Lepisosteus oculatus: one gene and its partner. The protein of the gene in region 1 binds, or shares a complex with, the protein of each later gene. Links are inferred from orthologs where the notes say so. Each region holds a gene or a part of one and is shown on either strand. Other genes may lie near its edges. The genes, in order: crhr1 and crhb.

What was found.
Region 2: the proteins of crhr1 (region 1) and crhb are in contact, whole or in part, in a cryo-EM structure (PDB 6P9X), measured with the Homo sapiens proteins. The link is inferred for Lepisosteus oculatus from reciprocal best matches to the Homo sapiens genes CRHR1 and CRH. Residues at the interface, in NP_004373.2 of Homo sapiens: Lys113, Tyr116, His117, Ala119, Val120, Asn123, Trp169, Val172, Gln173, Met176, Ser177, Pro178, His181, Thr192, Tyr195, Asn196, His199, Phe203, Phe260, Gly261, Lys262, Tyr267, Tyr272, Gln273, Met276, Ile277, Leu280, Tyr327, Phe330, Phe331; in NP_000747.1 of Homo sapiens: Glu156, Pro157, Pro158, Ile159, Ser160, Leu161, Asp162, Leu163, Thr164, Phe165, His166, Leu167, Leu168, Arg169, Glu170, Leu172, Met174, Arg176.

What each region holds. Positions count from the first base shown.
Region 1 is NC_090723.1:8,133,818-8,146,515, reverse strand, and holds the start of crhr1 (corticotropin-releasing factor receptor 1), read left to right. Parts: upstream 1-5,856; 5' UTR 5,857-5,885; coding exon 5,886-5,945; intron 5,946-6,796; exon of another isoform or gene 6,797-9,714; coding exon of another isoform or gene 9,715-9,768; intron 9,769-12,698.
Region 2 is NC_090701.1:51,254,404-51,267,101, reverse strand, and holds crhb (corticotropin releasing hormone b), read left to right. Parts: upstream 1-4,267; 5' UTR 4,268-4,921; intron 4,922-5,749; 5' UTR 5,750-5,769; coding exon 5,770-6,270; 3' UTR 6,271-6,733; downstream 6,734-12,698. Other genes in the region: trim55b (tripartite motif-containing protein 55b), read right to left, coding at 7,104-7,223. UniProt on the Homo sapiens protein: Hormone regulating the release of corticotropin from pituitary gland. Induces NLRP6 in intestinal epithelial cells, hence may influence gut microbiota profile.

The DNA of each region.
Region 1 (12,698 bases):
TATGAATTATGTAACACTTGAAAAGAAACAAACTACGCTGCAAGTGTTCGCTTTGTGCAGCACACAGCATTTTAAGGTTCATGCACGTTAAAAAGCTCATTCCAGGCCTCTGGAGTGGCTCAAACAGAGGAGTTTGTTAGGAATGCATACTGAACCCTGGAGTGATTGACGCCTGGACTATACCTGAGATTCCTCAAGTGCCAGTGGACACCTGGGCACATACACCTTCACAGATTGGGTATCCTTGCCATGACACGTGAGCTTGAATGCTGTTGCTGAGAGAGAGCTGCATCATTCTCTCTACATCTCTCCTTCTGTTCTGCAGGCACTCGGTCATGTACAGAATAAACAACAGCTCAGCAGCCCTGACAAGTACTGTACACGCTCTGGAGAGACGCATGCAGGGTTAACACCCTCTCCCTGGCGAGAAAGCTGGAGAGTTCCAGTGGAAGGCTATAGAAAATCTTGCAAACTTTCAAGAAAGGAAAAAACGCCTATACCGCTGGCTGGCGTTACAGGGTGAGCAGCCCCAGCTATGGAGAGCCAGCAGGTTTTACAGATGAGCTAAATGACCGAAGAGTGGCTCTCCCAGACCAGGCCAGCCTATACTGGGCTCGTGCACAGGAGGCAATCAGTCAAAATGCAAAAGTCACTTTGCGCTTTGATCAACAGGATTACAGTACAAACCGAGGGGAGGCCAGATAGTTTCCCCTCGAATGCTCAAGGTTATTCGGGCACAGGCCCTGCTGGCTCCTGCATGTGAGTAACCCCCAAGAGCGAAGATGTCCTCCTTAGTTACTAGCCTGTTTGTGAAAGTGCTCGTGGGCTTTTTAAATGATCTTCACACTCTCTTAGTTAGTACTCAGAGTATTATCTGTACTGGCATCTCTTTGCACTGTTGACTCAAGACAGCCGCCAGTGGGAATATTTTAAAAAGGAACCAATAGAAGTCTATTTTTAAGTGGTCTGCCTGAATTTAGACACCTAGGGATGGATGATAAGATAGGGATAGGATGTTTGTTATGTGTCATGTTTATTGAAAGCTACTGTAGATGGTTTTGGAAAGTGCCGTACAAAGGGTGGGTGGAAAGCTGTATTTGTTTTATTCTGATTACACACACTGGGGTGATCGTTCTACATTGCTCAGACACTGGTCATTGCATTGCCCCAAATCCCGAAGCCATCAACAGAGCCAAGCCATCAGAGACTTGGATTCACAAGCATTTATTGCAAATGTATTGCATTGAAGAATCAGGTAGAGACATAACTTAAATCTTCACCAGACACTAAAATCAGTGTAGACCACTGACCAGAGATGAGTGTATGCATAGTATAATGCATAGTATAGTATCTTGTGAATTACCCAGGCTTTTGCATCAGTTAGATGAAATCTTTTAGTTAAGCACACATAAAAATCAGTTGTTCGTCTTTAGTACATATTCTGGCCAATCATGTGAAAGGCATATATAAACTCGTGCTGGAATGGCTGCAATGGTGAAATGCATTCATGCCTTTGTAAAGTTGATGCGAGCAGGAGACATTAAGGTGTTTTTAGGTTGGGGCTTCAAAACCCGGGTGAGACACCGCTGATCTGCCCCCAAAACTTACTCTCGTAAAATCACAACTGTATAAAGGAGTGCGAATCGTAGCTGCTTTACACTAATGAAGTGTGTAATTTGTACGAACAGATGGTGATCAATGCTGGATGAAAAAGCAACACGTGTGAAGTTGTGTACTACCAGCAGGCTAGACTGTCAAGTGGACTACTCTGTGCACTTTTTTCAACTGCCTGCTTGCTTTTCCCGTTATCCTCTTTCGGTAATTTAACTGCCTGCACCTACGAGCCCAGGGACTCGGTATTCTGCCTGCGTTGTCCTGAGGGCCGCAGTTCCACTGGAAAGGAAGATTTCTGGGCTGCCTGCCGGTGGGCGTTGCCTAAGGGCTCATTAAAAAATACATTACAAATAATAAGACGGGAAGTGAAGACCTCAAAAGCTCTTTTATAGGCTATGGATGTGGCGTGTGATTTGCGATTATGCTGGATGTTTGAAGAGTTTACACTGAAAGACCTGTTACCGTTGCTTTTCCTTACAGGCAGTGTGCTGGAAGTCGATTCCGTTGGTCCAAACCTGCCAGCTTCTTCCTGAAAGCTTTTGCACAACGAAGATACTGATGTTTTACTTGCATGACAGCGTGGATCATTTTAAAGTTTGAGAAGCAATGCAGCCTCATCAGATCGTTGCAGATACTGCTCTGCAAATTAATAGATGTGTGGGAAGAGATACCCTTAGAGCAGAATAAATACAAATTTCAATTTGAACAGGGTTTCTTCACCAGTCTGCTGAGCTGTTGAGCTCTCATGCACTGCATTTCAAAATACACACATGTGACCCAAAATTAATGCCGCCGTTGTGGCATATGCGAAAGAAATCCACATTCTGGTGAATCATCCAATAGACTCTCACTACATGATTGATTGATTGATTGATTGCTGAAGTATGACATCGATTACAAAAATTGTATGCACTTTTCTTTAAACAATTGGAAAATGCAAGGTGTTGTTTCAAACTATATGGTTTACAATAACTTCTTCCCCCTGGCAGAGCAAATCGTTAAATAGGAAAAAAAAACTTAGAACACTTCACGGCTCTCATCTCTCAGCTTAGCCAAGGCAATCACACTAGAGCGAGCCAGAAGAGTCTTTCATTTCAAAGACCTGGTCAAAGGCAACTTGAAGAAATGCATCAATATCCACCCCTGGGAGATTATGGCTCTTGTCCTAACCCAATGAAGCAAGAATATCTGGATAGGAAACCAGCACTTTGCGACTCAATGATGTCAGAGCGAGAACCCAGGAGGAAGCAGAGCCCTGAAGCGAGCTGCCATGAGTGTATTGCACAATACATGACCACGACTTCTGAGATGACACCTCCTCAAGCTGCCAGACAGTCTGCAGATCTGGCACCGGCCTCATCAATCACCTTCAGCTTCGTGGAAGACTGTCATCCTTGAACGTGAGGGATAATAAATGAATCAGTGACTTTTGTCTGGCAATATTTAGCAGAACTGTCATGACAGCTGGAAATGTGGGGTTACAGGAGTGTCAAATTTAGGCCTACTGGTACTGTGCATCGTGACGACACCTTTCCATTGCCGGTAACTGCCGATACGCTGACATCTCATCAGTCTCCTTTAGTAGACCTCTACGGCCAAGCTCAGGCTTCTGTCCAGGCCTTTCAGTACACTGCAGTCCAACAGCCTGCCTGACTCTTGGCAGGGTGGATGGCTAATTTATGTGAAGAATCTCTCCCGAAATGAACTATCCTTTTAACCCCATTTATGTCTGTAAGCTTGGATCTCTACGAAACGTATCCATTACCAACCTTGTAATTGTCTGCATTATCAAGATGCTGCATCTTATACCATTTTTTCTAAACAGTTTGGAATGTTGGGTTTCAGCTCATCTCCTTCAGAGATTCATTCAAATGATAAATGGTGGGATATATTGAAGGATCTGCTTTATTCCTTGGCATTATCCACTGAGACCGCCTGAAATAATCAAATATTAATAGGCTTATTAGGCTACATCTGGGTTACTACATCTGCAGACACTCTGCTCTCCAGGGGGTAATACACTGGGCTTTTCTAACCCCCATTACCTTGTAAAATGGTTGCTGGACTGGAACACAAATCAAAGTTTTTTTTCCCCTATCTGCTTTTTCATTTCACAGGTTAAAAGACAACAAACCACAATAAAACTTCTTGTCTGGTCTTGTGGATGGGTGACCCCTAGATTCATGGACAGAGACTATGTAGTATCGCACTTCACAACAATACGGGTCTGTAGCAGCCAGTATGCCAAATCTTTTCTCTCTCTCTCTGGACATCACAATAGAGGGCCAAGAGCATTGCACCTGAGCTCCCTTAAGCTCTTTTTTATTCAATCTTTGATCTGCTCTGCATAGAAATGGCAGTGCTGATGTGTCCTTTCCATAACTTTTCCCCCAACCCTCTTCCGCCCCAACTCCTAAAATCCGTGACTGAAATGAAACACGAGACATGAGACATGAGAGTGATGTGCAGGTCCTTACCTGCTAGGACCAAACCAGGATTTGTTTCTTATGCTGGAACCATCGGAATGTTGGTAAAAGTGGTGAGAGATCAAAAGACATCAAACCAGTAACAATGGTTTACCACAGAGCACCCTAAACCACATCCTTCTGATCCCAGCTTCTGCTGGCCTGTTTTCCAGCAGAGTCCTCAGACGCCCCTCGGTAAGCTGAAGTTTTCACATTACTTATTCATCATTGCACCCAACTTGGAATCTACAGTTTTACAGCCGAAAACGAATTTGCAAGAAAAAAGGTCTGTTTTTGGAAGAAACTCATTTCTGGATGTCCTTATTCAGCTCTTTGTCCCTGTCGTTGGTCACTTTTAACAGTTGGTTCACACCTTAAAGATGTGGTTAGACAGCAGGAGGCTTTAAACACTGGAACAACTGAATGAGGCTGAGCTCAATGAATCCGTGCAAAATATGTTTGCAGGACTGAGCACAGAACCCAGTTTAAATAGTTATTTTCAAGCAATTCTATTTCATATAAGGGGGTTAATAATGACGAGCTCAACTGGACCAGAAACAAGAGTCGTGTTTGTTTCAGCACCAGGGCTGAGATATTAAGGATACTTCCTTCCATTAATATAATGCTTTTCATCCTGAAGGAACCCAACTGCTGAGCTTCTAAAGCAAAGCAATCCCTGTCCTGGGGGGGCTGTAAGGTTTTAGGGTTATTCAAAGCAGCAGCAGCACCAGAGTGGTCCACTTTAGCCAATGATGAGCTGACTGGGTTCATTAAGAGCCGAGTTGCAATTAAAAACCTGCAGACACACGGGCCCTCCAGGACCACCACGATCACCCTCAGCCATGAGGAGTAAGAGTTGTGCTACATTATTCATTATTTAATTGATCTGCAAGAAGCTTAAGTACTGTACATAACTATAAAACCAGCCCGGCTGTATGCAAGGCCTGGAAGCTATTCTTTGACTTCCTTCATATACAGAGCCCTGCGTTACTGGGAAACTGAAGCAAACTCTTGTCATTACTTTATAGCATTGCAGTTCCTGAAGAGTCCCATGCCTTCGGACTGATGCAGTTGGAATACTTAGCTGATCAGTTACTAAAATGATGTCCCTAACTAGACCTACAGATCTAAGATAAGATCATGTTTATTTTCACAGCTGATCAGGGCTATAAAATTAAGAACTCAGAGGGCTGGTGTACATGCACAGTTTTGTTCCAGCTTTGCACTTAAGCGCCTAAGCAAACTCTGTATTGGCTTAATTGGACCAATTCAGTAGTTTCTCCAGCTCTTCAGGGTGCTAGTGCTGGATGTGCTAAGCAGGCAGGTACCCTGGGGTTGTAGCATTAGATATAGACACCAAAGGACACAATGACTGGAGGCCAGTCACAGTGCAAACAAAGCAGGGTTTCCATATCAGGATGTTTGCCCAGTATGGTTTAAGGAGAAGGCGCATCCCATGACGTTGTCATCTAATGGAAAAAAAACTGTCATCTAATATAGCCTGGAACTGTTTTAAACAAACGCCAGGACCCGAGCTTGCCTGGTACTCAGATTTATTATTTTTTTAAAAGGGGAAGAAAACACATACTGTAGAACAACAGAAGATTTCTGATAATTTTTTCTTTTACCCTTGAAACACTCGTGGTTTATTTAGAGCAAATAATGCAGCACATTTCCTAAATTCGCCACCACCGTAGTCTAATTAGGTATCGTGCTAACGCAGCACAAAGTGCAGAGGTGTTCACACCTGGGAACAGCCTTGTGCGATTTCTATCATTATTGCTCTTCAGCGCAGAGTAGCCGATAATGAGACGCTTTAAGAGTAAACAACTATCAAAGCATTTGTTTGAGCAAAAGGCACTGCAGGTAGGCATCAGCGATTTCCTTCATTTTCTAAAGTAGCACGATAGCAACATAATTTATATCAGCATGCCTCACGGGAACCGCAAGAGAATACTAAATGGCTTTTCGGGGTGAAACAGTTTGGCAGAACTCTATATCATCTGGGTAGTATATAGCTTGCTTTCCAATCCACACCATCTTACACACACGAAGCAATTTGCAGGTAGTCGGCTCCATACAAGAACTTAAAAGATATAGAGGCGTCCGCCTTCTTACAGACATCAGGTTATTCCAGAATTTCAACCACTGTCTCCTCCGGGGAAAACAAACTCTTTCGTTTTGCAATTTTCTCTCGGCCCGTTTGGTTTAATGTGCTCCTATGATCATTCCGAAGAGACTCCGATTGTACTTTTCTCCGTTTAGCGTGAAATTTGATGTTTCGTGTAAACGGAAAGCGAAGAGAACAGTACAGCATAGTTCGGCTTTGATAACCCACCCCAGGAAAATAGGCTAACCCCAAAACCGGTGTTGGTAAACGTAATTTAAAAAAAAACAACTATTACAAATCTATTATATTGGTATTAGTTATCTAATTATTTAAATAAATGACTATAATTGAGCTCAAACGCAACCGGTGGGTTAATCGGTAAATTTACAAATATTATTGTATTCGAAGTAAGCAATTAATGTAATGAATTGTAATCAGTTAATGATAACGTGCACTTCAGAAATGTTTTCAAGACCACGCAAAAAATGTCCATTCAACCAATATTCCGTCAGGTGGAAGACGTACAGCGTGTCTCCTGAAACACAAGACGATTTGAAAAATGATGTTGATGATGAGCAGAGAACTTTCTGAAAGAGATGGGATCGAAAATCCATAACCCTCGAATTGAAGGGGGATAATTAATGGAATGTCATAGGAGCTGCTTTCTGACTGAATGCCTTTTTTGCTGTACGACAGCTTCAGATGAGATACGAGCCGGCGGAGAACATGCCACAAGCGTCCGCACGTTCTTTTAACCGATTCGCTCTCCTAAAGCCTCTGAACGGTCTTTTTTTTTTTTAAAGTCGCTATTTAGATTCCGTTTTCAAGCTGAAGTACATGAAGAACAAGTCATAGGTTTAATTCCATGCTGAAAAGAGACGTTTCGGCTGTGGAGCCTTCTTCGGGTCTGAGGAAGACAGGGCAGGCAGCAAAGATGAAATAACACAGGAAAACAAAAGTTGGGAGAGGGGAGGAGGTGAAGAGAGGGGTAAAGTCGAAATCTGCATGTGAATAGAGAAGATTGCACGAAAACAAGTCTGACGTTGAGAGAAGGTGTGAACCAGGTTTCAGGATAATTTTTGTTTCTGATGTCTTTCTGCGGCGGGAGTTGAGAAACCCTTCATTGAGAACTCAGATGGAGAGATCAATGTGATCAGGGCCGTCAGAGGTGAAATGAGAAACTATGGGCTTGGAGAAATCTTTACTCTTCACAGCCCTGACATCGGTCTCATAGGCTCATAGGTGGCGTTCCCCGACACCAAGAAGACCTACTGCTCCGACGCCTTCGACGCTCCTAGTATATGAAGAATGCTTGTATACACTATATTGTACATTTACATTATAAATAAAATCGGCCAGCATCGGCCAAACGGAGTTTGGAAATAAAAGGAAAGACATCGACACCGCGTTTCTTTGTGCTGTGACAATTTCCCGGAGCCTAATTTCATAGTTTGTGGCGAAGGTAGGAAAATTACATCCCGCTGCGTGTTGCCGTAAATTCCGACACGACTCCCTCAACATGATGCAGTTCTGCGCAGCGAGGAATCGTGAAACGAACATGTTGAATGTTGGTTAATCGCTTACGGACTTCAAATTCTGGTACATCTCGTTAAACCGACAAGGGCCGGAGGGTTATTGATAGGTGAGAAACGAAACACCGGTTTGAAATCAGCGTCTGATTTATATTTGCAAATAGTCAATGTGTTTATTCTTATCCGTTTATTCAGATAAAAGTAAAACAACACGGTAACAGCAATTCCTGAGCTCCTGTCAGGTTTGCCGGCACCGAAATAGGTAGGAGATCCCCATGGTAACATATACTGTAGCTTGCCCCAGAATAAAGATAGGAGTGGTCTTATACGCGCTGCACAGCTCGACTGCTCTCAGTGCGCAGTAAGCTCCCGTATTGGCAGGAGGACGGGATAAAACTAGTTAAGAAACCAGACCTCTACTACAGACACAGAAACATGGACCGGGAGTGATATCTGCAACCGACTGAAACGCCGGGTGACACCAGCAATCGGGAACTGGTTAATACTGTACCCAAAGCGAACTGTACTGTAAACATCAAAACCCTTGTAGATCGCGACAGGGACATCCTTCAGAGTTTAAAAGACAGACATTAAGATGAAGAACATAAATTGGTTTAAGGGCGCAGTTCGACAGTGATAGTGGTGCAGGGGGTCTGGAGAAGCGCTCTCACTCTGCGGGAGCCCTGAAGTCGTACGGCGGGGCAAATGACCGCAGGCTGCGGCAGGAGTCGCCCCGGTCACCGGATTCCCAGCCAGGACGCCGGGCGCCCCCGCTGATACCCTCAGCCCCGAGGCAGCAGCGCAAGCGTGGCCCCCCTGGAGGACTCGCCGGGCGATGCTGTCTCCGGACGTGCCGGAGTTAGGAGCTATTCTGTGAAGGATCCCCGGCAGCTCGGAGCATCCGGACTGTTCCGAGCGTCAGCGACAAACTGCACAGGAGTTGGGCGGCAGAGCAGATAACGTCCCAGCAGGCACGGAAATCTTGCCGGCTGAACTGCCGAGTGCAGACACTTGCTCTGCTAAGAATTTGGCGACTGTGGCATTGCTTTAGTCTGAAAGAAGCGGAGGCTCGGATGGACAGGTCGCAGCCTTCAGTGAATCTATAAACAAGGGACAGGCAGCATAACGTTTCAGCGCGCTTTTTGGAAGGCTTGGACGAATGCATGTAGCGTGTGACCGATTACCATCCACAAACAACACAGGCTTTGATTGGAGGAATTCAATATTAATAAAAGCATGACTAATAATAAAAAGCAAACAGATACACCTAATACGATTGGGTATCATATTGGATTCATTAAACCCGATGAATTTGGGTTCACCGAAACAGATTAACTCGAGTTATGGAGCGCGTATTATCCAGAGAATTAGATAAAGCGCCTGTAGGTCAGCGATAGGATAAGAGGAGTTACAATAAGCAAGCACCTCGCTGGGATTTCGAGAGGAGACCGATTAATCTTATTTTGAATGTAAAACACTCCGGTATAACGCTCTAGAAATTAAACTGCTTGCGCTGAAGCTTTTGCTATGATCATGTAAAGTTGTTTTTTTATGTCCCATTTTTCCACGTATGAACTCTGAAACCAAGAAAAGGATTTTGAGATTGTTTTTCTTGTACGAAAACTGACTCCAATGCTTAGGATTAAAATCAGGTACATACTGTACACGATATGCACAGTAACATGACTGGGGATATTTCACGGCCGCGGACATTTTAAACTGGATACTTTTGTAGTCTACACGTTTTTTAGACGGAGCTATTAATGCATAAACACAGAAAAAGAAAAAAAAGCCATGCGATGATTATTACAAAGATGCGGAAATTAGCGGGACTCACTATGACCGCTGTGTTGGTGAGTTCAATACAACAGTAATTCCAGCACAGACTCTGAAACGTTGATCTTCTCCGGTCAGCCTAAGGAAGAAGGACTATCACTTCACCCAAAACATCTCTTTGTGTGAAGACAAGAGTTCTGTCATTTCTGCTAGACACATGTGCCACCTCAGTTACAATCCCAGAAAAATGCTTTGCGCCCAGATTCTGCAGGTGAGTGTGTGTACCGGTGGTTTCGGGTGTCCTATGCGGACAGGAGGGGCGAATGCGCTCGCTTATTCGTTGCGCTGATAGCAGAGGTTAACGGTCTGACCGGTGTTTTCCTGCTACTCAGGCAACGTTATCAACAGCACCTGGAGAATTTAATACAGAGACCGAGGGGTTTGGTACAGTATGTATCTTTAGAAATACAACTTCCATTCGAAAGCATCGTGATCGGCAACGTTTAGAATGAACTGACATCCAATAACACATACAGTATCTAATGGCACTTATATTTGCATGGGGGAGGTCTTTTTAAATGATGATTTTTAAGTTTTGCCAAAAAGCTGTACTGTATATTCTTTATATTTAAGTTTTGCGGAAAGATTCTGCGCAATACTACGGTAGTGTAGTGAAACCTCACTCCTATTCAAAGTTAAAAAGCTCCAGACATTTCACTAGTCTAGCTGATTCATGAAATTCGCCGTAGTGCCTTGGGGATAGTATGTCATTCATTTCTGAGCCGGTGCGACTTTGTGGTTCGTGGTTTAGCATTCATGGATGCTCGCTGTGAACACTCAAAACAAATACTGTAGGTCTGAAGAGGGGTTTAACAGCGTTTCCATAGTATTAAAACGTCCTGGAAAAAGTTAAATGTTAATGCTTGCTAAACACCGAGTACAATCATAAAACGATTATGCCCACTTTATTATGTAATAATGACCTTCCGAATCACTGTTAATGAGAATGGACAGCTGTACTCACGGCGACTCAACGAAAGTGGGGAAAAAAAACCGAGATCGATCAGTTACCATTGGAAAAGTTAATGACTAATGTTTAAGTGTTCCGATATTGCATGTCCCATTGGATAGGCTAGCTACGGAAAAAGACCATGGTGACGAAACAAATGTATATCCAAGCATCCGATACTTAACATAGGAACATAACACAATGCCCTGTGGTATCGACATGTACAATGTCTGTCCAATAAATACATGATGAAGGATTTTTCATTTACAGTTTGAATGCCAGTAATTATAGTAGGCCTAATTGAGGTTATTGTCAAATGAACATATACAGTAGCACAATGTACGAAATAGCAGAAGCAGCCGCAATGTCAGTGGTAACATGCAGCCTGGCCCCTAGCTCATTTGGACGCCGCGTTATTAGTTCAACACTCCTGCGACGGTACGCTTTAGGTCATATTTTCTTCGGCGTCAGGGGTCTGAGTTCAACATCTTTCCGGCGATGGCGTTTTCACTTTCACTCCGAGAGCGGCTCTGTCTGTGTCTGTGTCCGTGTGTGTGTGTGTACAGCGCCCCAGGGCGCAGGCGTGAGAGAGCCACTACATACTGTGCGCAAGTTCATTTAGTTAATCCGACAAGCAAGGCTTCTGAATTAAGATTTTTCAACATTTGAATGATCCTACAGGATTTACCAGGCTCTTTTTAACAACAAGGGAAAATGGTTGAAAACTGTTGAAGTGGACCCTGACAGCCAGTTCACCGGGAGTTATTTTAAAACCTGTACTTGGCATTTTGCGATGCAGTTTTGCAATGGATGTAACTGCAATAGGAGAGCGATTGTTCGGTTACCCGGGGGATAACAGACACAACGCCACCCCTAAAGCAATTAGGAATAGCACTTTGCATTCCTGCTTTCAATTTAGACATTACAAATGTGCATGGGGTCACTGGTAGTTCAGAGATGGGAACTAATGCCATTGTCACCTACTCATACCTAGATCGGGGTAGATAACCTGGGCTGTTCAACTGTGTGCCTCGTCTAGGACTTTGAACTTTGTGATGAATCAATTACTGGACTGACCCTAAACTGCTTAATTAATGCAAGAACTGAAGATTGCTTCAACAGCTAATCATTAGGTGGAGCAAAGAGTTGGCTGTAGGCTGGAATGGAGATGGATCTATTCTTGACCACCCACATACCAGTATACAGCTGGCTCTGATGTGCACCTCTCCACAGTCTTTCACTAACCTGCTGACCTCTCCGCGCAAGGTGTTGAAACTGCCCCCACACTCCTGTCAGGCGGGGACTGAGCTGGTTTTCATCGCCGTTTGTTTCTCCAAGATATGAATGTCCCAAAATAAGGTGGCAGTGACATTCCCAAAAGATTAGGTGTATTGTTTCCACTTGCACAGTCCGTTCAAAACAATCAAGGAAAAACATCACTCACAGGAGTTGCAAGTTGCCCTTAAATTTAATGTATTTGATTACACTCTACTTGTTTATCAGCTTTCCTCATTTTTAAGTGTGAGTTCCTGTCCAATCTCTGGCCTATTATTATTATTTTAAAGAGCTTCGTAGTCTTAAAGTTAGTTTGGGATTCATGACATACACAAGGGAGCATTTTTCAACATATCCGAACCCAGATCATATCAGAGCTTTTGCTCTGAAGCGGAGAAAACTCAGAACAGAGCAAAAAACAGAATAGCATTTTCAAGGCAGCTGAATGGCACGTCGTTCTGTGTGGACAAGCAAATAAAGCACTGCCATTAAAATAAGACGTAATGTGCAGATCTGTGAGAAAGGTGAAGTTTTCTTCTTTGCAGAACTACTGCAGCTGGGGGTTCCAGGGTAGCATTGAGCCAGTCAGGATAGAACATTCTTTTTTAGAGCAGGAATATATCTGACCACTCCTCTCTGGAGTGTTTTGAATTTTTTGTAATTTGGGGTTGTCCTCAATAATTTAAGAGGAGGTCTTACTAGTGCTTTGTACGATTTTAGCGTACCATCCCATCATGCAAATACACTTTTTACTATATCTGCTGTATCCAAACATTCCCGAAAACCCCTTTTAATTACTTCCTCACATTGTATAGATGATTATGAAGTGTCAGCTTAAATATCTAAGGTTTTCTTAATGGTTTTCTAAATGAAGGTTTTCCATCTTAAATATATACAGTAGGTGATGTCTCTAAACT
Region 2 (12,698 bases), on another chromosome or scaffold:
TGGATGGAGCATTGATATGGTCGTATTATTCCCCACTATTGCAGGGATAGCTGTGCATCGTGTTGAAAAACCATTGCTGACTGTCCTGCTACATGTCAGCATGGAGGCTGATTGATGCCTTTGCTGTTAAGAAGCAGAGCTGTGCACCCAAGTAATGCAACAGGAAAATAGGAGCAGATGGTCAATCTGTAACTTATGCACGACCTGTAGGTTTCTATAAAGAGCTGTGGCATTTCCATATATTGTCATACTTTTATATTTCACATATCAGGGCTAGTTAAAGGTTACCTGACTCTGGCGAAGTAGAAATAGAAATAAAGAAATTAAAAAATCAAATTATACATTACTCAGAACTGGGTAGTCACATGGCAAATGCAGTATTCAGAAAAAGAAAAAGTTGGGTAACTAGTGACATTGATGTCTAAGCTGGGGTTTTCACTATGAGCTCTAATATTAATTTCTCTTGAAACAAATACTGCTATATTCAATACCTATGCTTTTGTTTTTAATAATGTCAAAGTCAAGTCTGCCCTCATGGGTCAATAAAAGAAGTTAAGAGTGCTAACCCTCTTAATTTTGAAAAGGAAACAGTATAAGCACAATTGCCATAATCACTCTACCAACTGGTTTCACTTTGACTTCAGTGTCTGGAGTCAATGCTTGATAGTCAAGATAAAAATCAAATAACTTTCTGTGAAAGAAAAGCACACAACTTTGAATCTGAATGAGAAGAAGTCTCAGACATAATAGCACCAGACGTTGGGCATGTTACAATGAGCTTTTTGGAATACATTGATGAAGAAGGAAACCAGACGTACAGTGTGATTACAGCCATTCCCAGCACAGGCAAGGAAAACAGCTGTAGTTGATGGCAGTGAAGTTATCAGAGATAAAGGGGAGAAGGTACAGTATCAACACCCACAGTTCGCGGACTGGGAAAGCAGAATTACAAAGGCTGTTCCGCAAGATGTAAGCCTCTCATTTGACTGAGAACAGAAAAGACAGATCGGAATTTGTAAGGAAACCCCCTCATTTGTAAAGCATGATGCAGGTTATGTCATGGACTGGATTTGCATAGCAGCCTCTGCAACTGGTCCACTCTCCTGTATTGACAATGTAACTAAAGATAGTGGCACAAAGAAATCTTAAATTGACACACAAAAAAACATCAGTTCGTGTAAAACAAAATGTTTTTGTACTTACTGGGCGGTACTTCACCCCGCAGCCTGACAGTGACCCAAAACTATAGCTCATGCATCCAAGGAGTTTATCAGGGGATAGAAGTTAAAACTATGACTATTCAAGTCAATCTCAAGATTTAAATCCAGCAGAGCATGTATTTTACATGTGGAATAGAATCAAGTGAAATCTTGAACACTCTGAGAATAGGAGCCACCTCAAAGTGGCTCAGAAAAAGCTTGGCCAACCATTTCAAATGATTAAGATTTTGGGGAGCTTAATGGGTTTCCTTATGATTTATCGCCTCAAAAGGACAGGCAGCCAAATACTGATTTTTACCTCTGAAATTTACTTGAAGTGAATGTTCCACAGTACTTATGGTCACTTGTAATCATTGGGCTTAACACAGACTATGGCTTTGTTGTTATATGATTTTATGCATGGAATTACCCCAAAAATAAAGTACTTGTTACATTGTACATAGCATTCATATTAACGATCACAACGATAAATAGAAATTGCTTGAGTGTAAAGCAAAAACAACAGTTCTGTCTTTCTTGTCCCAGTAACTTTGCGCTGTAGGTCTTTGTCGATTTGTCCTCACCTAGATAGTATGGCAAAGCATTTAACAGGCTGACACGTCACAAAGTCCAGGGTCCAACATAACACAAAGAGCTAGGGACATATCCAACTGTAGGTTAGGAGGAAACGTGTGAAGTACTAAACATAGGGACTGCTTCTTTACAGAAAGACAAGAGCATCTCCAATAAAGCTTTCCAGCCTTGCTATTGAAGTAAAGTTATTCTCTGGCATCCCTCAAGCCACATTCAGCAGAATGAACAGTTGTATTGTATGTCGGTGTGTTCAGTTTGGGTTCTATTTGACTTCTGAGCAGTGTCCACAACACAGAGAGAAGAAAACAATTGTTCGAGACCTTACAATTGCGAACTGAAGTTCGCAGTTGTACAGTAATGCCGCAATGAAGGTAATTAGAATAATAAAAAGTCAATCCATCCACATTTAGCGTGCTACATCTTCAATTGTACTATCGTGGTTGATTTTGCTATTGCATGCTTGATGCTATCTTCTCATGTCCACACAAGTATTTCAGCCTTCCGTCTGAAAACTGTTTCCTAAGACATCCTGAAACACTATGTGCCGCATTAACTCGAATTGTAAAAATAATACCAACGTTCCAGTAAACTCACAGAGAGAGTGTAATTGAGTCTTCCTCCTACAGTGCCTTAAAAATAAACTGTCAAAACCAATTGGTTATGAGAAATGTTTGTTTGTGTCGCTTGCTCTATTTCATATAATTGCTCTGTTGTGAAAGAAGAAAAAAGTCAGACTACATATACCATGCAGTTCTTCTATGACTCATCTCGTTTGCTGTATCTCTGTACTAGAATATCTTTGTCCCAGAGACGTCCTGTCAAAGATTAATGGTGCTGATGAACAGGACGCCACCTACCGTTCCCAATGTGCTAAAACCTGTTAGATAACGAGAACAATTATCCCTTTAAATGCATTTTAAATATAAGACCGGTTTGGAAAAAATGCTAAATTATCCGTTGAGTTAAAACAAACATACAATAGAATGAGTCCTAATTATAATCTCCCAAATGATGTGTACCATACACCACCCCGATTTCTGTTATTGAAGTATGTGATGTGTTTATGCTTTATATGTTTGAAAAAGAACGCATATTTACATATGTATATGTATGGATTACAAATTAAAGGACGATAATACCACGCAATAGTTAACTACTTGATCATTCTTGCCATAATTGCTAAATGCACACGTCACCTCGTTTCTCAGGAAATACAGCATAATGAGTCAGATCTCTAAATATTATTTTGCTTTACTCACCTTTTATTAATTTATATTTAATATCTGACTCATGATCTGAAAACAACACAGGATCACCTATTTGAAAAACTGATTAAGATGATAATGAGTGAAATAAATCTCTGTCATATGGGATTAACACATTCAATTCACGGGCTGGCAATGAAAAGCGTCTTCTTCATCGAGACCAGCTATTACAGTCTATTTCTATTATTGAGGCTCAGTCCGTGTTTTTAGAGCATTAGAGCAATGGAGTCTGAAATACTCTCTAAAAACACAGCCACGACAAAGAGATGCAGCGATTCCTAAGAATGAAACTTGTACAGTGTGACGCGTGAAACGAGTTCTCAAATGGATGAGAGGAGGTTTTGTGTTTCTACTTTTCTACTTCAGGAAATGCAGAACTGGTTGAAATGGGTGTTTTTGCCTATTGACAGAGCACCGAACACGTTTCTAACAGTATTCACAGAGCTGCTCCTCTGTTATTCCTCCTGTGGAATAGAAGAAACGTCAAAAGTTTGTCAGTTTGCATGAAGAAAAACAGTCACAGTGCATGGTTCGCCATTAACTAACATTCAATAAGCAAAAATACTCGGATTGTGGATTGGAAATTACTTGATTAAATTATTTATACTTGTATGGTATTTTACAAGATAATCTAAACTTGCATCCACACAGAATGGTTCGTTTCTAAATCAAGATTTGAAAGCGCTTGAGACAATAGCGCTGATCATGTCTTAATACACAATCAAAATAAGCAATGACGGATATACAGTACAGAATAAGAGAAGAAAAAAAACAACGTGTTATAAACAACTTGTGATGTATACACATACTGTATACTCTAGAAGCTTAGTTCTTTTTTCCTGTAAGATTTAACGCCAAACGGATGGATGAAACATAATCAACCTTTAAAATCAGATCACTTTCAGACGGGAAAACAATCTCGAAACATTTACTGTAGAATGAAAGAGCACGGAAAACTGCGAAATATTTATCGGGCTGTGACACAATGAGTAAAGTAGATTTTTTTTTTTGTAGCGAAGTAGTTCAGGTGTGTAGCTGCGCCAGCATGCGTAGACTGCAAAGGAACAAGTAAAGGTTTAATCCATGCTGAAAAGAGACGAAAGGAAACACAACATTACGGAAGGCTCCACAGCCGAAACATTGTGTTTCCTTTCTTCTCTTTTCAGCGTGCAATAAATCTTGACTTGTTCCTTTCTTTTTTTTTTTTGGAGCCAAGTTATTTTTACAAACTGCGAGTATCGAACTTTGGGAAGAACTGCTCAAGCCTTTACGGTTTCATTTTCAGTACCAAGGACAGAGACAAGTAATTTCTGTTTATTTTTGACCACAGGATGCGAAAACGAATGTTCTAGGATGCTCAGGCGTTAAAGAAGGACTGATGAACAACCAGACAGAGCCAGGTGAATCCTAATTGAGAAAGCGATCGATTTCTTCTTCCGTTATCTGAAAACTTCACTACAGTTTCGGCGAGAGACGTTCATTCAAATAATGGGGAAAGCAACAAACGGTGGCACTTCTTGTGCGTAGAATTACGTCACGGCGATCGGACACAAACTTCTGGAAATAATTGGACTCCTGTTGCGGAATAAATTTGCCCACCAGCTTTTAAAATTCATTGTTCATTCAGGTGTCTACCCATGCAAATCACTGCGCAGACGCAAGATCTGAGCTCAGAGCGTGACACTTGTCACAGGTCTTGGGGTATAAAAATCCAACATCCAGGCTTTCTTTGAAGAAGTAGTTCGTTTACAGGTGTCTTTACAGACCGGTAGCAAACCTGGAAGAAAACAGCATCTTAACTGTGAGCCTTATCTGGTCACCAGCGTCCACGGACATACGTACGGCCATTCTCTTGTAATTCAGGTACGGGAACTTGAAAACTATCTTTTAAGAGCCTCGTAATTTTGTGGTGCAATACGTTGTTTATAATAAGTGTTTAAATAGCGACAGAGAAAGTGTCAGTGTTATACGTTTATTATTTCTTATTTCCGAAACTGAAGGTGCAGGAAGCTAGGAAGTCAGAAGTGTATCTGTTTTTAATACTGTTTTAAAACACAGTGTGAGACTCCGACACTGCTATTTGGTGTCACGGATTAATTTATTTTTTATACAAGTAGAAATCTAGTTTTGTAACACCAACAGATTCCTACATTTTAAAGTTTTCATCCACAGGTTATTAACATTGGAAATTCAAATGTATAAGAAGTATGGGCCTTTATAGTAGGGAATATACAGCTGAATGTGTGTTGTGTACTGTACATATAAGTTTGCCTTCGTATTGCTTTACCTTATTCTGTATGTTTTTCAAAGGAAGGGAAAACACTTTAAAATGATCATTCTGAATTTTTGGCATACTGTAGATTTTTTTTTTAATATTGCACACATTAACAAACAATTTGGAGCATCTCAATCTCTATACAATTTATTTCTGGCTGAAGCGCCTACTGTCATAATGATAACTGTTGATCTGCTGTACATATCAGTACAATTCAGTCAATATCTTTGATGCCTGTAAACCTCGGAAAGGCAATAAAAATATACACAGAATGTCCACTCTCCAACACGAAACGCCGAATGACGTTTTTCGGTAGGGTGAGAGTTTTGTTTAACGTAGTTCTTTTGGTGTCTGTTTGGAAACACGCAAACTTAAGTTTTTAAAACAAAAAAAAATCGAATCTCTTTCCTCTTCAGGTTCCCGCTGATATCCTGTCATGAAGCTCAATTTCCTTGTTTCTACTGCTATCCTGCTTGTTGCCTTCCTGCCGCGTCATGAATGTAGAGCTATCGAAAGCCCGGGGGCTGTCCAGTCCGGTCGGGGTTCCGAATCTGAGCTACAGGAGCTTTCCCTTCCGCTTTTGGTGAGACTGGGAGAGGAGTATTTCATTCGCCTGGGCAACGTAAATCAGAATCCCCCCTCGTACCTGCCCAACATGTCCCCCGACGCGTCCCCGGCTAACGTCAACAGGGCTTTCCAGATGCAGCTCACACAGCGTCTCCTGCAAGGCAAAGTTGGTCACCCCAACCGGCTTCTGAGCAGCCACGATGACCAGCTGGAAGACCTGACGGGAAGAGGGAAGCGGTCCGAAGAGCCTCCCATTTCCCTGGATCTGACCTTCCACCTGCTACGAGAAGTTTTGGAAATGGCCCGGGCGGAGCAGCTTGCCCAGCAAGCGCACAGCAACAGAAAAATGATGGAAATCATCGGGAAGTGAACGTGACACAGCTCCATCTGCCAAAGAAGTTTTACATCTAGCACAAAATACACAGTATCCTGTACCATAGCGCTGCTTTTACATTATTTATTTTTTATAGCTTTAAACCTCAAACGAAGGAAAATGATGAGGAATCGTAGCCCGCTCGATGGTTGGTAATCAGACTGGCTCATACATGCAAGATAAATGCGTCATTTTAATTTGTATAACTGTTGTAACAGTGATATTACAAAACCGTAGCATTTACACAAAACCTTTCACATTTTCAAAACAAAAAAAACCCAATATATTTTAAGTAGAATTGTAGGAAATTCACTAATTTCAGAACGCCGTATTCAGAAATGGATGCCCTCTCTGAAATTCAGTTTCCCTGTAATCTACCTTGTTTACGTTTGATAATAAACATAATATGAGCAACGAGTCATTTTTTTGTTGTGCAAGAGAATGTCTAATATTTATATTTTTAATAAAAGCTTGAAAGTTACGTTTACATTTCATTGTGTAAATTCTTGAGTGCCAACACCTCTCACAACGTGCACCAGAAGTGTGTCATTAGGTGTTTTACCAGTGGTATTTTCAAGGTTGAAAGTGTTAACTTGGCATCCATTCATTCACAAGCAATTTCATTACATTCTTTAGCCATGTAGAATGCATCAGCTGTTTCAGACAAGGTGTTGAATTGCTATAAACCCCAACCCGCTCTTTTCAGTCACATCTCCGTCATATCGTGCGTGTACCTAACGGTACAGTTAATACACCAGCACAGCGAGGCACTTGTCTTCACCAGTCGCTCCTCGCTTGTTGTAGGCTCCATGTCTGGAGGACAAGGCGAGCTACTCTTTAAGGGAGTTTAACCAGGAGAAGGAGAAGACGTGCCGAGGTCCGTCGCCGCCTTTGTCTTCTGCGTTTTGTTGACTTTCGCTCGGTCCGCCGGCCGCAATCTCAGAACCAGCCTGTTTAAAAGGAAGCGAGGAAATATTGGTGTATTTTCAATATCCCATTTGCTGTTTTTCCACTGCAAAGTTAACAAAAGTTAACTACATTACTCTAGATATTTTGTTGGTTTTGGTACCCTTACGTTGTTATTTAGTTTGAACTTGAAACCTTATATTTACTATGGCTATATTAATTCTAGTAACGGCGGCTTGCTTAATAAAGGGAATTTTTCTCATATTTCTGGAGTAAGATAAAATTATATTTCTGACATATTTTATAACGTTGAAAAACTCTTTCTTTTTTGAAAATGAAGTTAAGCTGCACACAAATATCGTCGCCTACAGTTATGTCAGAGGTAGAAGCGGTTGTGTGCACTCAGTAAACACACCAAGATACTGAAAGGCGTGCGCTGCACACGGGAGCAAATCGTGTACAGTATAACGTATCGTTGTAATCGCCTACGCTACAATTGAGGTAGTTTATACTGCAAATTTGTTCCGCTTCCAGCCCTGCCGACCCAACGTTAAAAGCCCGAGCCTAAATTGTTACCAGGTAAGAAAGTATTGTATAAAAATCAGCTATTATTTTGTTTTTTAGTAACATCAGCTCTGAAAAACACATACTGTACTAATAGACAATGACGGAAAGAGAGAGAGACGCTTTAGTATTTTGTTCTTACATCTTTTGAGGGGTGTTTGATTATGAATAAAACAATGAGGAATAATTTGTGGATAAATCAGATGGACCATACAGCTACACTTGCAGGTTCTTAGTGCACCCATCCACTGGATAATTACTTTATTCAATTCAGGGTCGCAGGGGAGCCCAAGCCCAGCAAGCAGCAGACACAAGGCAGGTATACGATGGACTGGGATGCCAGTCCATTACAGGGCACACATTGACACAGACTCACATCAGAGGCAGTTTTTCCAGAAGCCAATTAGCCTACCAGCATGCTTTTTGACCATGGGAGGAAACCCATGCAAACACAGGGGGAACATACATACTCCATGCAGATAGTAGCCCAGGAATTGAACCCAGGGCCCCAGTACTGCAAGGGAGTAATGGAACCACTGCACCACTGTGCCACCTATCTGTCCCTTAGTATCCAATTATCCTATATAAAATGCACATGATATGGTTTGTATGTTTTCAGCCATTTATTTGACACACTGCACAGATAACATTAATATGTATAATGAATTTCATCATAAAATATATCAGGGAAATCTACGATAGTGGCTCCATATTATTAATAATATGCCTGATTTAAAAAATAATTTACTTTACTTTGAATCATGCTATATATTTAAATCTACTGGGCCTCACAGAACGTTTTGATTATTGCTTGAAGATATTACTTCCACATAAGACTGTATATTTATAAAACAGAAGTTCCCGCAAACAATCCACTCAGAAACTTATTTACTGTAATGTGACAGCTGAAAGGGGAAAGCAGTTTGCTAAAATAAATAAGGTTATGTTATAGTTTCTCTATAAGAGGCACTAACCTACTAGATTCCATAAGTATAATGGTGAGGTTTTTGTTGAGTCTCTTTAAGAGCGTATCTCTGAATGTCATCCTCTGACATCTCTCCTACTGTAGGCGTTTTACCATAAAACTCATGAAGTCCTGGTCCAGTCCTGGTCCTAGACGGCTGGTGTGTCCACAGCTCTCAACGGCTAAAGCAACTAATTATTAGCTCAAGTAAGCCTATTTAACATCTTCCCATACAAGTGGTAAGAAGTCTGGCAGAGTAATACTGTGACTGCCTGCCAAACTGGATTAGTCAAAGGACTGGGCGATGGTTACAAATGCCAGTTTTATGACTTTAATACTCTTGATCACTCATCCTATTGATCAATTTCCACAAAATGGGTGTGACGCCTCTTCAGAATGTGAGGTATAGCTTTACATTCAACTGCAGCACTCTCTGCTTCTATCCTGATCTCATAAGCAAAGCTGAGTCTGGTGAGTGCTGGGATGACTGATCAAGGAATACCAGTTTGCTGTTCTAAGTGGTGATCATGAACCACTAGCAGGGCTAAAAACTTTAAACTATATAGAGCACAGAAATTAGCTCAAGACCACTGGACTGTTGACTGTCTTATCCATGCAATCATATCTATCAAACTGGCTGCCAAAAAATCCCTAGAAAACCAACAAAAAGAGACCCAGATTCCAAGTGGCAGAAGATGTCACACCTACAATCAAAGGAAAAGTGTAGCAGGCTAGGCTATAGAGAGAGTAATTTACCACAAAAGGACATCACATGTATTCTACTACCTGTAAATAGGATCGCCAGGTGGTAATTTGGCATTAATTATATTACTGGTGATGATTTATTTACACATTCTTACACGGAACTCACTAATGGTGTGTTTGGCATGAATGGGTTTTACAAGTGTACAGTAAGTCAGCGGCTGGATTTTCTGTTTTTATTCTGTAACATTTCTGTTACTGAACAACTCCCACAATGGGTTTTCAGACTCTCTAGCGGCAGGTCTGACAATATTTGTTTTTAAACATCCTGAATACTGAAATTATACCATCAACGTTCTTTGCAGATTTTACACATCACATGGCAGGATGGAGAGAACAACAAAGGTGCTCTCTCCCAGGCAGACAATATAAGTATTGAATCCATGAATATCTATCAACAGCCCCACTGGGCTGTTTGTGTTGGGCAGATATCAGACTGCACGCTCTCAGAGAAGGCTTTCTTCTTCCAGCAAGACATATCAGATGTCCTAACCTGACAGATTGATGTGAAGAGTCTATGTACAAATTCCTCACTTTTACTACAGGGAAATACAAAACCAGGGCTGAAGAGGCCAGACCAACCCTGTTGCTTCCTAACCTTGACTTCGCATGCAACCTGATGTCTTTCCATTTCCCCTTTATGCCTGTAGCTAAACTAATGGCTAATCCTGTTTGGCCAGGAGCATACATTAAACAAGTGAGACTGTGTTCCCTAAAATAGCAGCAGTTGGTATGTTACTTTAGATGATTAACCTTTTTGTATTCCATCTCCTCAAGAAATTAAACCTTACTTCAACCCATTGTGCTCTCTCACCAGTCCAATCTGTCACCAGTGTAGACAACCCTCGCTGAATGTTAAACACTTTCATAGAGCTTGCAGACAGCTGGAGACAGTTCCTCTCCTAACATTGTGGAAATGTAGAACCTTATTTACATGTATTATTAGATCTTATGTATTTAGTTTCTCTCTGTCTCTGGAGTGTCTCATGAAGAATGTTACATCAATATCAGCTCCTGGGAAGTTATAATGCAATCTGGGAAAAAAACCCACTGCTTTCAGGCTCAAAGGTATCAGCCTAAGTAAGCTAAACAAGTGTATCAGAGAGATATCAACAAGACCAGATTGCACAGTACATGATCTCTTCAGACAACACCTTCTCAACTGGCAGGGTATGTTGGTCTTTTCACTCACGTACGGGTTCATGCAAGACAGTCATCCTTGACTACAAGGCATAGCCAACGAGTGATCTATTGAGAAATTTAACATTAAAGAGTAAAATCGACCTTCACAGACTTCCTTTTCAAGTATTTCACCATTAGTCTTTAAAAAATGTAATTAAATAGCTGCCTTGTTATCACTTTCAAGGCATTCATACATCTATGTGCACATAAATACTTGAGAAAACCAAAATCACGTAAAAAGATTTTGTCCATTTTTGCATCAGAATACAGTGCAGCCCAATGAATTTGAACTAACCATCATATCCAATTATTTTATGCAAAGCCTTGGAACAATGGAATACATCCTCGAATAGTCATAGGTGGAGGATTTAGTCAATTACTAGTCAAAAGATGTCAGTTCTATATACCATTCCTCATTTATTGTGCTTTTATAGGTGGAATAGAATGGATGTGGAAAATCATAAGGTCACATCTTTCATCATACAGAACACTGAACTGAAGGAGATGTGTTTGAAGTATACTACAGCATAACATTCCAACTATTAATATTACATTTTAAAGGTTGTATCCTGTTACTTGTTGGTTATTGATGTCATGTTATCTCTTGATTCCAATTATTTTGTGGGATTTACCTGTACTGCAGAGTTTTTTTAAAAATGTACAAGTTAATAAATTGTTTACAGGACCTTGGTAGAATAAAATATGTACTGTATATCTTGTACATCAGTATGGATATGTATAGATTTAGATAAGTGCAAGTATATTTTGAATGTGAAAAATGGGTAAAGTCCGTGGTGATGGTATATCTTTAGAGCCCACATGACATTTATTTTTTATTACGCTTGCACTAATAGTCCAAATTGGTGCCCAGTGTGTATTATCCATATCTATCACGGCTGCTCATTTTATTCTGCCAAGGCAATCTGTCAAAATGTAAGTAAAACTAAAAGGGTAGGAAGGATAATTGGAAAGTGTATTTGTAAGTGTCTTTTGTCATGTTGTTTTTTTCACTTAACTCTTCTTAATAAGCATGTGAACGAGTCAAAAAAAATGCTTAGGAATCTTACAGAAGGGAAGTGTACTTTTCCCGCTTTTGCAATTGTTTATTAACTCTGAAAAAAGAAAACTAGTGTCCCGTTATTTTAAAACAGGATGCCAAAAATTAATTGAAAATTCCCCCCACACACAAAACAGTACTCCAAAGTCTCATTTCAGCATACAACAGTGATAAACTATATTTCGGAGGAATTAGTTTGTATGCAAAAAGGAAATAAGTATCCTACCCATAAAAGTTACAATCACGCCCTGAATCTGATTCCAAAGGTGACGGAGTATCATAAACAAAGCCAGAATTGTCAGGCAGAAAGCTAGCCCCTGTGAAAAAACAAAATACCAAAGCTTCATGTCTGCACAGTTCTATTAAACCAGATCATTTTAAACACTGAATGTTGAACAGTCACATTTAACTCTTATGGAGCCCATTGAGTGTTTGCACTGATGATAACCTCTTGCCCTCCTACAGACAGATAAACACAGTGCTGATCATTTGTGCTTGATTGGTCAACTTGCAAACAGTTTCAAATAAAGTATCATCCCACTGGCATTGATCCCAGCCACCTGTGGGCTCAAAGCACACAAAACTCTAGCACCACAGTCTAGACAGCAGTTAGCTCCTCTATGCCAAAAGACTGGTCCTCTGTGGTAGAGGTTTACATTGTCTAGCTTTCAGAAGGGAGGTGATCTCATTTCTGTAACTTGCTCAGTACATGAGTCCTGTTACACTGCCATCCACATTGACATTTTGGTGCCATTGCCGAGAGTACTGGGTTGTTCACCCATACTGACTTTTTATATTAAATACGAAATGGTGCTTTTCACCTAAACCTGCAGCTTGGAACATCTCCCTCACTCATAGCAACACTGAATATAGGTATTTATGCACACATAACTCCAGTTATCCATTCTGAACCTATTTGAAAAGGGTTCATTTAAGAGGTACAGTAGCAGTATACTTGAGAGTCTGCTCTGCATCCGAGCTGTAAAGAAA